Xenopus tropicalis: one gene and its partners. The protein of the gene in region 3 purifies or fractionates together with the protein of the main gene of each other region. This does not show direct contact. Links are inferred from orthologs where the notes say so. Each region holds a gene or a part of one and is shown on either strand. Other genes may lie near its edges.

What was found.
Region 1: the proteins of tnrc6c (region 3) and cnot10 purify together in Homo sapiens (co-immunoprecipitation; 3 studies listed by BioGRID and IntAct, with this or other methods). This does not show direct contact. The link is inferred for Xenopus tropicalis from reciprocal best matches to the Homo sapiens genes TNRC6C and CNOT10.
Region 2: the proteins of tnrc6c (region 3) and pan2 purify together in Homo sapiens (affinity purification with western blotting; 3 studies listed by BioGRID and IntAct, with this or other methods). This does not show direct contact. The link is inferred for Xenopus tropicalis from reciprocal best matches to the Homo sapiens genes TNRC6C and PAN2.

Annotation. Positions count from the first base shown.
Region 1 is NC_030682.2:50,188,420-50,193,224, reverse strand, and holds the start of cnot10 (CCR4-NOT transcription complex subunit 10), read right to left. Parts: upstream 3,002-4,805; 5' UTR 2,895-3,001; intron 2,847-2,894; exon of another isoform or gene 2,827-2,846; intron 2,748-2,826; exon of another isoform or gene 2,729-2,747; intron 770-2,728; 5' UTR 665-769; coding exon 643-664; intron 1-642. UniProt on the Homo sapiens protein: Component of the CCR4-NOT complex which is one of the major cellular mRNA deadenylases and is linked to various cellular processes including bulk mRNA degradation, miRNA-mediated repression, translational repression during translational initiation and general transcription regulation.
Region 2 is NC_030678.2:138,019,026-138,024,055, reverse strand, and holds the start of pan2 (PAN2-PAN3 deadenylation complex catalytic subunit PAN2), read right to left. Parts: upstream 3,002-5,030; 5' UTR 2,824-3,001; intron 2,380-2,823; 5' UTR 2,354-2,379; coding exon 2,078-2,353; intron 1,224-2,077; coding exon 1,054-1,223; intron 44-1,053; coding exon 1-43. UniProt on the Homo sapiens protein: Catalytic subunit of the poly(A)-nuclease (PAN) deadenylation complex, one of two cytoplasmic mRNA deadenylases involved in general and miRNA-mediated mRNA turnover.
Region 3 is NC_030686.2:45,710,104-45,714,375, forward strand, and holds part of tnrc6c (trinucleotide repeat-containing gene 6C protein), read right to left. Parts: intron 3,463-4,272; coding exon 937-3,462; intron 1-936. UniProt on the Homo sapiens protein: Plays a role in RNA-mediated gene silencing by micro-RNAs (miRNAs). Required for miRNA-dependent translational repression of complementary mRNAs by argonaute family proteins.

The DNA.
Region 1 (4,805 bases), on a different chromosome or scaffold from region 3:
AGACTATTATTCAAAGGGCATTTTATATCTTAACATAGATCTTTTCTAACTTTGATGAAGAATACAAAAAAAAACTCAACTCTTAAACCATGGCATTTTGTTTATATTTATATATAATTTATATATTAATAAACTTGCTTGATAAAGGGGTCCCCTTGCCCCAAAACATTGCACTACCACAATAAAGTTTGATTTAAAGGGCTTGTCCCGTTTACAGCCCCTGAGTGCCATTGCATCTTTTGCCAGTATGCCAACTTTTGACATGTGGGGCAGAGTTATCAAAAGGAAGGGCGCATTATTGCATATTTTTTGCATGGGTTACAATTTTGCACATGTTGCATGCACCCAGGTGTGCTGTGAGGTGGTTACAGTGTCCTTTCTTAACTGGGAATAGTAATTCATTTAAAGGGCGTAAGTCACCTCCGAAGCACTATTTTCTGTTTATAGGTTTTCAAATAGTACATCAGAAATATTTTTTAAAATGTTTTTCAATTTAAAAATTACACTTTGAAACATTTAAAAAAGTCATCTTAACAAATGCATCAAAGCCTATTTATAGTAGAGTGATTGTGTGCGCACAAGTGATTTGTGTTATGTTCCAATAAAACCAGCAGTACAACATCACAGTAAAAGAACACCTACCTCCTGCTTTGTCTGCAGCCATTCTTGAATCTTCTCTGATATAGTGTATGACTCCTTTGTGAGTAAATTCTTTTAATCCAGTCTAACAAGATGGTCCTTCAGTGTTTGCTTGTTCCAATTCTTGTTCCTGAGACAACAAGCAGAAAAAGTTCAATAACACATTTTGGCTGAAAGCAAGGTTCAGAATACTTAGGCTTTTAAATAGGAAGTTCACTTTTAGGGTAAAAAAAAAACAACAAGGTTTTTAGAAGGGCCCTTGCCTGCACCCCCCAAGGAAGGATGATGTCTACTTTCCTGTTAATACGTTCACTGATCTCAACACAAACAAGCCAATCTCTGCACCAAATAAAAACATTTGAGATGTGGGGAGCAGCTGAGAACAAACAGTTATAGTACTTGGCTCATTTGGCGATGCAACAATGATGGTGGTCTCCCTCAGACCAGTGTCAGGCAGCTTGGCAATGCATTTTAATTCAACCAAATACTAAAAACACAGTAATTATTATGAGAGTACATATAAAAAGCAGGTATGGAAGCACATGATTCACTATTGGCTTGGACCTACCACACTAGACACTTAAAAAAAAATTATAATGATGTATCAGTGACTTCCACTTCTGTATCTAATTATTCTAGAGGAATGAGTTCCCTGTCAATGCCAGCACCTTTCCCAAATCTAATTTCACCAATGCTCAAGTAACTTCACGACAGCTTGGTGCCACCACATATAGCCCTGTTGCTGACAATATAAGACACAGGGCTGATCTATTCTCTGACCCATTGCACAGATTGTGCGACTGCTGAGTATTTTCAGAGTTATGCTGCAGGCAACTAAACCAATTGCTTTACAGAAGTGTCCAATGTGCTATTCCTTTATACACATTCACTCTCCTTTACTTCAAGTAAGTGCCCAATGTGCTATTCCTTTATACACATTCACTCTCCTTTACTTCAAGCAAGTGTCCAATGTGCTATTCCCTTATACACATTCACTCTCCTTTACTTCAAGCAAGTGCCCAATGTGCTATTCCTTTATACACATTCACTCTCCTTTACTTCAAGCAAGTGCCCAATGTGCTATCCCTTTATACACATTCACTCTCCTTTACTTCAAGCAAGTGCCCAATGTGCTATCCCTTTATACACATTCACTCTCCTTTACTTCAAGCAAGTGCCCAATGTGCTATCCCTTTATACACATTCACTCTCCTTTACTTCAAGCAAGTGCCCAATGTGCTATCCCTTTATACACATTCACTCTCCTTTACTTCAAGCAAGTGTCCAATGTGCTATCCCTTTATACACATTCACTCTCCTTTACTTCAAGCAAGTGCCCAATGTGATATTCCTTTATACACATTCACTCTCCTTTACTTCAAGCAAGTGCCCAATGTGCTATCCCTTTATACACATTCACTCTCCTTTACTTCAAGCAAGTGCCCAATGTGCTATCCCTTTATACACATTCACTCTCCTTTACTTCAAGCAAGTGTCCAATGTGCTATCCCTTTATACACATTCACTCTCCTTTACTTCAAGCAAGTGCCCAATGTGCTATCCCTTTATACACATTCACTCTCCTTTACTTCAAGCAAGTGCCCAATGTGCTATTCCTTTATACACATTCACTCTCCTTTACTTCAAGCAAGTGCCCAATGTGCTATCCCTTTATACACATTCACTCTCCTTTACTTCAAGCAAGTGCCCAATGTGCTATCCCTTTATACACATTCACTCTCCTTTACTTCAAGCAAGTGCCCAATGTGCTATCCCTTTATACACATTCACTCTCTTTTACTTCAAGCAAGTGCCCAATGTGCTATCCCTTTATACACATTCACTCTGCTTTACTTCAAGCAAGTGCCCAATGTGCTATCCCTTTATACACATTCACTCTCCTTCATGTGGTGTTACTGATCAGAGTAGAGTTCTGAGGTCTAAATAAAACACAAACTAATCGTCAGTGCGGTGTCATCTCTCTCTACTACACGCTTTCTAACACCCCATCTATTTCCCCATGGCCGCCTCTAGAGGTGGGACAGTAGCCCTGGCACTGGTGGATTTTGGGTATTAAGGTGGGCCTGACCGTGTTGAGTTTACTTGAATTACCGCCCCCCATACTGTCAGTGATCTGTGGACTTGGCGAGGGCGATCGCTAGGGTGCCTGCATGTTCCTTCCCTTACACAGCATTCGCACAGCCCAACAGCCCCGAATCCCCTAACGTAGCCCGCACTCTCGAATCGCTACTTACACTTCCCACAAAATCGTTATTGAAGCGTTCTAGCCTCCAACCTCACAGAAAATCCCAAAGCCACAAATCTCATTACGCGAGATTAGCGTCACAATCACGTAAGCGCAATGACGCATGACGCAGCCGCCTTGTGGGAAGAGCAAATCGCCTTAAAGGAACAGTAACACCAAAAAATGAAAGTGTATAAAAGTAACTAAAATATAATGTGCTGCTGCCCTGCACTGGTAAAAGCTGTGTGTTTACTTCAGAAAGTCTACTATAATTTATATAAATAAGCTGCTATGTAGCCATGGGGGCAGCCATTCAAAGGAGAAAAGGCACAGGCACATAGGAGATAACAGATAAAACACTATTGTATTCTACAGAACTTATCTGTTATCTGCTATGTAACCTGTGCCTTTTCTCCTTTTTTCCAGCTTGAATGGCTGCCCCCAGGGCTACACAGCAGCTTATTATATAAATTATAGTAGTGTTACTGTAGCAAACAGACCAGTGTTACCAGTGCAGGGCAACAGTGCATTATATTTTTATTACTTTAAAGCTCTTTCATTTTTTGGTGTTACTGTTCCTTTAACTCAGTCTGTTCTGTATCAAAAGAATAAGGGTTTTCTCACTCTGTATACGTTTGTGTGAGAACGATAAAAGAAAATAAATAAAAAAAAAAGTTTCATATTTGCTTCCCACTGTGCATGCTGCCACTTGGTCTGATAATTTCTTCAAGAGAAGTACTTGTTTCCCCCTGTTACCAATAGTACCTGTCGCCTTCAGAGCCCCTTTTCCCAATTAGATCTAAACTCAAAAAGGTTTCTTGAAACTAGGATGTGAAATTGTCATCATTATTGTTTTTCTTGTTTGTCCCACGTTTAAAGAAATTGTAGGATAAAGCACTAATCATAATTAATTTCACAAATTGAACTGATTAGAGGTCCATTATTTATCTGAAGCATCTTGGGCTCTAAAGGTCCCCATACACGTTTAGATTCACTCGCTAGTATATAGTAATATAGTTATAGTATAGTAATATAGTTATATTTTTTTTTTCTGTGTCAGGCTGAGCGCAAGCATGCAAAAAAGGGGCAAAATCTGCTTTGTGTTCCTGCACTTGGCCAACACAATGGCCCCAGGTGCGGGCACAACAATAAGCTTTTGAAAGGAGACATATCCTATAAAAATTAAGAATGTACCAGTGAATTATAATCCTCTAGATATAGAAGGATTGTGTTTAAAAAGTTGTGTTTCTGACTGTTTTATTGAGAAATTCCACAAAAACCTCACTAGCCCCACCCATCTGTTCCACTTCCTGCTGGCTGAGTTCTCTGGATGTGCAGGGGAGCCGGCGGCCCTCCGTACACTGCACTGTAGGATAGGAACCAATCAGCAGCTAGGCTGACCTGATAGGGAACTGAAGCCTTTCTTTGCTTGTGTGCTCCAGGTTTAATTTTCCCGTCGGATTGGCAACTGCATTGGCTCATTGATTCAGTCCCCAGTCAGATGGCGCTTATGCCCTCTATTAGGCCCGGCTGACTTCCCCACTAGACCCTGCTGACAGCACACCACCCAACCTTCTGGCCACCACTCACCCTCCACCCTGCTGGGCCCTGCCAACAGTCCACTTTCCTACTGGGTCCAGACGATCGTGCTGTTGACCATTAAAAATATGTCTTTCATGCAATGCATTGGATGGGCACTACCCTGCCCACCGTTACAGCCTGGAAGAATCTAGTGAATGCCGTTGTTCCTCTGTACAAACTCACATACGAGAATAGGGGCGCGCCCAATAAATTCGATAAAGTTTGGGGCCCTTGGTGTGACCTGGAGGGAAACTGAAGGACTCCACTCCCATTTACATGATAAAATCCCCGGCACTCTTCCACTCCTCCCCATTACATCCTGAGCATTTAGCTCAATAGG
Region 2 (5,030 bases), on a different chromosome or scaffold from region 3:
GTCTGTAAGCAGGAGACTGTGATTGTCGATGTTTTCATCCATCCTGCAGGTAATTACCAAACCCTCTTATAATGCTTGTGAAATAAATTATACGAAATAGCGATGTTGATACATACAGTACCTTTTAGGGCAGGGGTCGGGAACCTTTTTGGCTGAGAGAGCCATAAACACCACATATTTTAAAATGTAATTCCGTGAGAGCCATACAATATGTTTGGCTGCGGATGCTGCGGGGCAAGGTAGGGTGTGTCCCAAGGATGCCGGATGCGATGTGGAGACATGTTCTAAAGCTTAGAACACTTCTTCTATCCGCTGAGCGCAGGCCACGCCCCCCCATTATTTTTTTTGTTCAAAATTTAGCAGCAAGCCAGATGCAGCCATCAAAAGAGCCACATCTGGCTCCCGAGCCATAGGTTCCCTACCCCTGTTTTAGGGTATCAAAAGGAGAACACCACAGAGCAAGTACTAGTTTATAGGTAGAACATGTGTTTGTCAATATATGCCCTCACAGCCAAACTGTACATAAGCTAAATAATATAGATCAATATAACTAGATCAAACATATAAAATATAATGTAAATCTTTAGAAGGGCCAGGTGCAGAGTATGAACCCCCCTCCCTCCTGTCCCATCATCACTACATATCATCCCTATGCTATAACGTGTTCCCCTCCCCCTCCTGCACTTGTTTGTATCCATCTACTTCCTAACTGGGAGCTGGCGTGGAGTGGGGATTTACATGAAAAATGGAGGATGCAGGTCTACTTCCTCTATTATTACTCCACTGGATACACACACAGAGTCCACCAACTTTCCATGCCAGTGATGGCTGAAGCCCCACAATAGCTGTTCTTTAAAAACTCATTTCTAAAAGAAGAATTACTAATGGGTCATGCAACAGAGAAAATTGTGAGCTCAGCAGTATGCATCAGAAAAGAAAAAATGGGGAGGAACATTTTGATGACATGGATATGTGGATTTGGTTAAAGTTATATAAATTAATAAAGGTAACTAAGTAATATTTAAAAAAGTAGGTGTCCATTTACAAACTTACAGATAGTCAAAGATTATAAGCCCCCCACGGGTCATGCATTTCAGATTATTTTTCGTGAGGAACATCACCCCATTCTCCAGACTCTGGATCTGACGGATGTCATTACTGCCGTGTACTTGGAAAGAGGAATACCGTTCAAGGTCATGCCCAAAGAAGGAAGTGGCATGGCCCTACAGAAAAGAGATACAAAACATGGAGTTATGGTGAGGCATCATGCTAAAATGGGCTTTCTGCATATGTAGGCGGAGGCTTAAATGAAAACCTTGCATATCACCCTCTGCCCGCCTGGGGGGCTCTGCTAACAGCCCACTTGCAAATTATTGTGTCAGTGATCTGACATGAACCAAAAGAGGTCATGCACTAATTTTTATAGGCTACAGAAATATCTTTATATTTTGAAGCAAAGGTGTTCACTTATAATGCATATGGGTTTCCTGGTGCAAAAATATTTTGAGGTAAGGTGTGTAGGCTGGGAACAGAAAAGTAGAAATGCCCATGCTGATAAAGGCGTGATCAGTGGTGTGCGTGATCTAAGTCCATATTTATGAAAATTAGATATTGGCTAGACTACAGAAATTAAATTAGACTGTAAGCATACAATCATTAGTAAAAGGGAGAGGCCCAAAACTACAGATACACATATATATTTACAGAGTGTTTCAATGGATCTTGTATGAAGAGGACATAGATGCCAGTTCAGTATGTACAGCAAGGCTGTTAATCTGTAGACAGACTGCATAAATAGTGAAATAAACCCAATATCTTGATATTAGGAAGTGATAAGTATAAGGCAGAGCTATCAACCCCTCCTATTTCTTCGGGAGTTATCCATTTTTAAAGGCTCTCCCCATTCTCCCATCCCCCGATTTTTCTGAAGTCTGACTGTGACATCACTTCTGGGTATCAGGGAAATTTTGCCAGTTGACAGCTCTGATAAGGCTGTATTTTACATTACTATTATACTAAGAGATAATACAAAAAGGAAAACATAATACAAATGTGCAAGAGAAAAATAAATCCTTACCCCATGATTTCCAACCCATAACATCTCTTCATGAAGATCAAAGTGTACAGCAGAAACTGGTACTCCAACCTCAGACACCGCTGTCTGCAGCTCAGAGTACATTCCTTCCATCATGCTCACAGGATCCGCTACAGGGAGCCCTTCCAGTGCTTCATGATCCAGTTCCACTGTCTGCAAAAGGCTGGGGTTCAAGTGGGCATCAAGGACTGGGTCCAAAGGAGGATGCAGGCTTGGGGCATACTCTGCCAAAGCAGGGTCTAAGCCATCAAAATTCATGATGATTGTGGAGTAGGGTCCGTGGGCTAATGAAGAGAAAACAGTAACACTTTCTGATATGTAAAGAATTTATCCTTGGTATAAGTCACACACAACTTAAAATAATAGATATAGCAAAAGTCATATAAAAGATCAACTGAAGAAGAGGTGGAGGAGGAGGAGGGCCACTGCATGCTTATTATGGTTGTGAGTTTTACTATTCAGAGGTCTGAATATACAATCAATTGTATATTTGCCTCTCTCTTTCCAAATCACATCAGTAACAAGTCATATTTCGGTATCCTTGATAAACATCACATTCTGTATCCCACACTCTGTATATCTGTATGAGTGGACATTACTCAGTACGTAACAGTATCCTTTTGTTTCTACGAATGCAAACTCTGCATATTGGTATTGTAGTGCCTGTGTGTAACATCTCAGTGCAAAGAGCCATACATATACAAATAATAATCGCATAGCATACACACCTTCCTTTCTGCCCGCCTAAAGCACACAGCACAACTCTGGCTCTCTCATGCTCTGCTACTCTGCAGCACCAAGATGCAGGCACAGAGCTCTCTATCTGCCATAAAGAAACGAACCCAAACAGGAACAGTGTGCTTACGAGGGAGGAGCCTGCAGAGAAGCGTAAGGAAGGAAGCAGCAGCAGCAGTCATTGGCTAACAAATAATAAAGGCAGGTTGGGATTGCAGAATTAGGGATCGTCTGCAAATTTCATAACTTTTGGGAATGCGCATTAAAAAGTTCTGTACCACAAAGCATCCCAGCCTGAGAAAGTATAAATGCCCGATTTTTAAATAATGAAGCGGCAGGCTTACTGATACAAATATACAGTTGGTATAAACGGAGTACGAATGAGTTGAGAAGGTGTATGTTTCGTATGGTGTCTGGTAAGAAACTAATTTGCAGATAATCCCTAACTTTGCATCTCTCCGTCATGTCCCTATTCCTCCAATCAGTGACGCCCCTCCTACCCGTTTTGCGTTTTAACTTCCTGGTTGCCCTCTAAATATGTTTTGTCTTTTTCACAGCGTTAAAGTTGGATTTTTATTCAGTCGGTGAATAAGTAGCTGGTGTTTTAAATAAATAAATGATCTTGGGCCATAGATTTAAAAGTCCACTTTTATTGACAGTGTTGCCATGCTTGAACTGCAACCTGTTCAAGCCTGGGCAGGAAGACTGGCACCAAAGGGGGTAATAGTTTCTTATTCCGTCTGATGAATAAGTAACTAATTATGTAAAGGGTTAGATGACCCTGGCCACTGATTTTTACCTATACATTTGTAGGCAGGGGTGCCTTGCATTCAGGGCTGGAACTAGGGGTAGGCAGAAGAAGCAGCAACGCTTTGCCTACACCAAGGGGCACATTTACTTACTCACGAACGGGCCGAATGCGTCTGATTGCGTTTTTTTCGTAATGATCGGTATTTGGCGATTTTTCGGAAAATTGTTGCGACTTTTTCGTTGCCATTCCGAATGTTGTGCAAAATCTGGCGATTTTTTTCGTAGCGTTACTACTTGTGCGAAGAGTCGCAACTTTTTCGTAGCCTTCGCTCCGAGTACGAAAGATTCGGATTCATTCAAGCTTCAGTATGGTGACTTTTCTTGGGCCGGGTTGGAGCTGCAGAGTGCCATTGAGCCCTATGGGAGACTTTCCTTGGGCCAGGTTGGAGCTGCAGAGTGCCAATGAGCCCTATGGGAGGCTTTCCTTGGGCCGGGTTGGAGCTGCAGAGTGCCATTGAGCCCTATGGGAGACTTTCCTTGGGCCAGGTTGGAGCTGCAGAGTGCCATTGAGCCCTATGGGTGACTTTCCTTGGGCCAGGTTGGAGCTGCAGAGTGCCATTGAGCCCTATTGGAGGCTTTGCTTGGGCCAGGTTGGAGCTGCAGAGTGCCATTGAGCCCTATGGGAGGCTTTCCTTGGGCCAGGTTGGAGCTGCAGAGTGCCATTGAGCCCTATGGGTGACTTTCCTTGGGCCAGGTTGGAGCTGCAGAGTGCCATTGAGCCCTATGGGAGACTTTCCTTGGGCCAGGTTGGAGCTGCAGAGTGCCATTGAGCCCTATGGGAGGCTTTCCTTGGGCCGGGTTGGAGCTGCAGAGTGCCATTGAGCCCTATGGGAGACTTTCCTTGGGCCGGGTTGGAGCTGCAGAGTGCCATTGAGCCCTATGGGAGACTTTCCTTGGGCCAGGTTGGAGCTGCAGAGTGCCATTGAGCCCTATGGGAGGCTTTCCTTGGGCCGGGTTGGAGCTGCAGAGTGCCATTGAGCCCTATGGGAGGCTTTCCTTGGGCCGGGTTGGAGCTGCAGAGTGCCATTGAGCCCTATGAGAGACTTTCCTTGGGCCAGGTTGGAGCTGCAGAGTGCCATTGAGCCCTATGGGAGACTTTCCTTGGGCCAGGTTGGAGCTGCAGAGTGCCATTGAGCCCTATGGGAGACTTTCCTTGGGCCAGGTTGGAGCTGCAGAGTGCCATTGAGCCCTATGGGAGACTTTCCTTGGGCCAGGTTGGAGCTGCAGAGTGCCATTGAGCCCTATGGGAGACTTTCCTTGGGCCGGGTTGGAGCTGCAGGGTGCCATTGAGTCCTATGGGAGGCTTCCAAAATCATGCTAAGTCTGAAAGTTTCGCCCCGCCGCTTACGAGCGCTCAATACGAAAAAGTCGCGACAAGATACAACCGAAT
Region 3 (4,272 bases):
GACCCCATCGGCTCGTTGGTGCAGTCCCTGGACCGACTTTGCCTATACCCGTTGTGAAATAGCCTAAATTCCCCCGTAGGTGGGGGATATCGGGAGAAGATCCGATATCCCCCAAGCAAGCGGTCTGAAGGTGTATGGGCACCTTTAGGCAGTGCACCGGATGCTGAGAGCTGCAGTTAAATAAACAGCTGAAGTGCTTACAAGATGGAGAGCCCTCATACTCAATGCTAATAACCAGATATTTATTAGTAAAGAATACTTGGTTGCTATGGGTTACTAGACCTGGTTTAAACCTTTTTGCCCATTACTACATGATCCCTCTAACTTCTATAAAGTAGATGTGAGGTGTCAGGTAGACAATACCCTAGAGAGGATTTAAAGATCCCTAAGGATTCTGGGGTACCAAGGGTGGGTCTCTGCTAAGACTGATGTTAAATGTGGCCTCTGGCATTGACGAAAACGTGATCTCGTGGGCACGGACTTCCTTACCATGTTTATTATTCAACTCCAATTTTAGACAGCTTTAATAGGACACCTAAGCCGCTAAGAACAAAGAGGCAGCATGTGAATAAGGAGATCTACCTGAGTCTAATCCTGCCGGCGCTTTCCCAGCCCCGAGGTGACATTGATAGGGTGCCCACTACTGCGCTTCTGTAGGAACTGGGGGAGATTAACCCTTTGCAGACAGAGTGTACTTGGAGTAGACTGTATGAGTTAGCACCAGAATGAGCAGAAAGGCAATGGATGCCGAGCCTAAAGCCTAAGCACTACCAACGCTGGCCAACCTGCCACCCTCTTGTATATTCAGTATAAGTATAAGTCTGGCAGTTGTAGTTCAGCAACAGCTTGAGTCTGAAGCATGCAGAAACACAACGAGAGCAGAATATGCTTAAGAATTAGTTCCACTCCATACACAAGTGGTTATGGCCAACCTACCTGGACCGAGCAGTGGGGATCGGTTCTGCTGGGCACTTGGCTGATGAGTTGGCTGAGGTTCAACCATATTGGTATTTGGAGGGGTGCTGGGAGTGGCGGCGGAGTTGGTGTTTGTTGCAGGGATGCTCTGAGATACCGGATTATTCCTATCCCACATGTTTACAGTTTTAATATAATTGCTCGGGTCACCCCAAGCTGAGGTACCATCGTCTATTTCCATCTTACGGCGTATAGACGGCGGAGAAGGCTCTTGCCAGCCGGTGGAATCAGCTCCAGCATCCTTTTGTTTGGTTGGTGGTGTTGCTGGCACCGGTCCACCAATCCACACAGATCCATTCTGTTTTACAGATGCTGCTCCTCCCCACCCACTCACATTGTTCTCTTGGGGTTTATTGGCCCAGTTTTGCTGCTGAGGAGCTTTCATGGGCTCCCCCCAGCCTGTACCGGAATTATTCTTGGTGTTTGTGCCATTTCCCCACCCGCTGGTCCCAGGCCGCGAGTTCTCGTTCCACCCAGATCCAGGCTTACTGTCGGAGTCCCACCCTGTCCCGTTTTTCTTTCCGTCGGTAATGTGTTGAGGAACAGGGGGCCCGTCGGTCCAGTCTCCGCCCGTAGAACTCCAGCTTGGATTTGATTTTTGCCCGTCGGCCCACCCTTGGGGTTTGGACTTGTGAGGCTCACTCCAGGTGGGCGACTTGTCCTCCTGATTAGCGGACGCGCTCCAAGCGTGACCACTTTTGGCAGCAGCATTGACAACAGTAGAGCTTGCGTGTTCCCCCCACCCCCCTGGACCATTTGGCGTTTTTTCTCCCCAGCTTGCACTTACAGGGGCAGACACAGGTTGGGTGTTCATCCACCCCGATACTGAAGAGGTATTGGTACTGTTCATGATGGACCCTTCACTCTTTCCCCCTGAGTTTGAAGGCTGAGTATTTGAACCCCCCCAGGCCTCCGTCCCAACATTTTTATGATCGGGACGCTGAAATTCTTCCAATTCCCATGCAATATTCTGTCTGACGGGGACCTGTCCCCAGCCGGTATTGGAAAGGACTCTCGGGTCAAGATCTTGTCTTGGCATCTGCTCTGCCATCCCAGGGTCTCCCTGCTGACCATCTCCTCCCTTCCCTTCATTGGCATTCCCAGCGCCGGTGCATCTGTCGTTGGCTGCAGTGACAGATGCAACCGCTTTGGCCCTAGAATTCATTTGCTCACCTCCCTGCTGGGTGCTCTGCATGCCAACGCTGGGGCTGTCCCACCCTGTGGGTCCTTTTCCATTCATGTCATTGCTGGAATGCTGGTTTGGGACCTTACCCCACTCACCGTTCACACCGTTACTTGTGCTATGTCCAGTATGACCCCATGGTCCGGGATGCATGCCTCCTACGCTGCCTCTGCCTCTCCCCCAAGGCAGCACCCCGGGGCTACTAGGTGGTCCTGAATCCCATGCACTCATTCCACTGCCATCTTTCTGAACTGCGCAGCCATTTTGTTTAGAGCTGCCATCTCCTCCTTCCTGACTGAACCCTGAACCGCAGCTTCCTACAGACGGGCCGCCCTGCGATAACCCCCACACCGAGCTGCCCGTGCCGTCACCTCCCGCCCCGCTGACTTGAGAAACTGAACCATTAGCACCAGGAAGGCCTTGCAGGTGGGGTGGGATGATGCCCCCCATTCCGACAGCCATCCCCCAGTTTGGCAGTCCATTTGTCTGCATTGCATTAATAAGGTTTGGTGAAGAATTCATGGGGTTAGTGTTATTTGGTCCATCAGTGTTAAGGTTCTGAGGTTGTACGCTGAAAGACACATTCTGAGAATTGGACGTTTGTGGTTCTGTGCTCTCTTGTGACTGCAGGTTCCTCCAGGCACCTAAACTACCAGCTGCGTTTCCATTCTGGTTGCCCATGTTCTGTCCAATGGCACCGACTGGACTTGAAATGCTGGAAGGACTGCCGCCTCCCAAAGTCCCTTCATGTCCAAGTACAGGCCAGGCAGCTGGGTTGGCATTCGGGTTAAGGTTAAGATTAATGCCAGTATTTGGGTTGGAAGCGCCCCAGCAGTTATGACTCCTGCTCTCCCCAATCATGTTGTCCACCTTGCCATCCCCACCACCAATAGGGCAGTGAGCAATGCCAGAGCTGGAGCCTGGAGCGACACCCCAAACTCTGGCTAAGTTCCCATTACCATTTGCCCCACCAGCTCCAAGGGCACTCTGGTTAGAAGTGCTTTGGATGAGTGCTCCATTGGCGCCATTATTGCCATTTGTTTTCTTTGTATGTCCAGTGAAGTTGCCTTGGGCACTAGTAGCCATGCTACTTTTCTCTGAGCCACAGTTGGAGGCAGAGTCAGTGTCTGTAGTACATTCTGAGGCAGATTCACTCTCAGTTCCAGTAATGGAAGGCCACGCTTCCTTGTCAGTCCTGTCTATTATCACTTTATCCCAGCTACAAGTGGCTTCACCTCGGAGAGACGGCTGCAGTCCCCAGTGGGAATTCTCATAATGGTCTCCCAAACCACTGTGACTGAGATCTGCCAGGGGGAAAGAAAAGGCACATGTTAGTCAGCTGAATGCTTCAATACTATGCCCCCCCCAGTCCCCGTAGTGCTGGGCACCCTATACACATACTAAGTGCCTCTACCTCTACTGCCTTGTAATATATCCATTCCTCAGGGCCAGAATATCTGTGCTATGAAACGTGGCAAGGTAAACAAAGCATAGGAATGGGATAGGGCCCTTAGATTGTAAGCTCACTGGGGCAGGGACTGATAGGAATGGGATAGGGCCCTTAGATTGTAAGCTCACTGGGGCAGGGACTGATGGGAATGTGATAGGGCCCTTAGATTGTAAGCTCACTGGGGTAGGGACTGATGGGAATGTGATAGGGCCCTTAGATTGTAAGCTCACTGGGGCAGGGGCTGATGGGAATGGGATAGGGGCCTTAGATTGTAAGCTCACTGGGGCAGGGACTGATGGGAATGTGATAGGGACCTTAGATTGTAAGCTCACTGGGGCAGGGGCTGATGGGAATGGGATTGGAACCTTAGATTGTAAGCTCACTGGGGCAGGAACTGATGGGAATGGGATAGGGACCATAGATTATAAGCTCACTGGGGCAGGGGCTGATGGGAATGGGATAGGGACCTTAGATTGTAAGCTCACTGGGGTAGGGACTGATGGGAATGGGATAGGGACCTTAAATTGTAAGCTCACTGGGGCAGGGACTGATGGGAATGGGATAGGGACCTTAGATTGTAAGCTCACTGGGGCAGGGACTGATGGGAATGGGATAGGGACCTTAAATTGTAAGCTCACTGGGGCAGGGACTGATGGGAATGGGA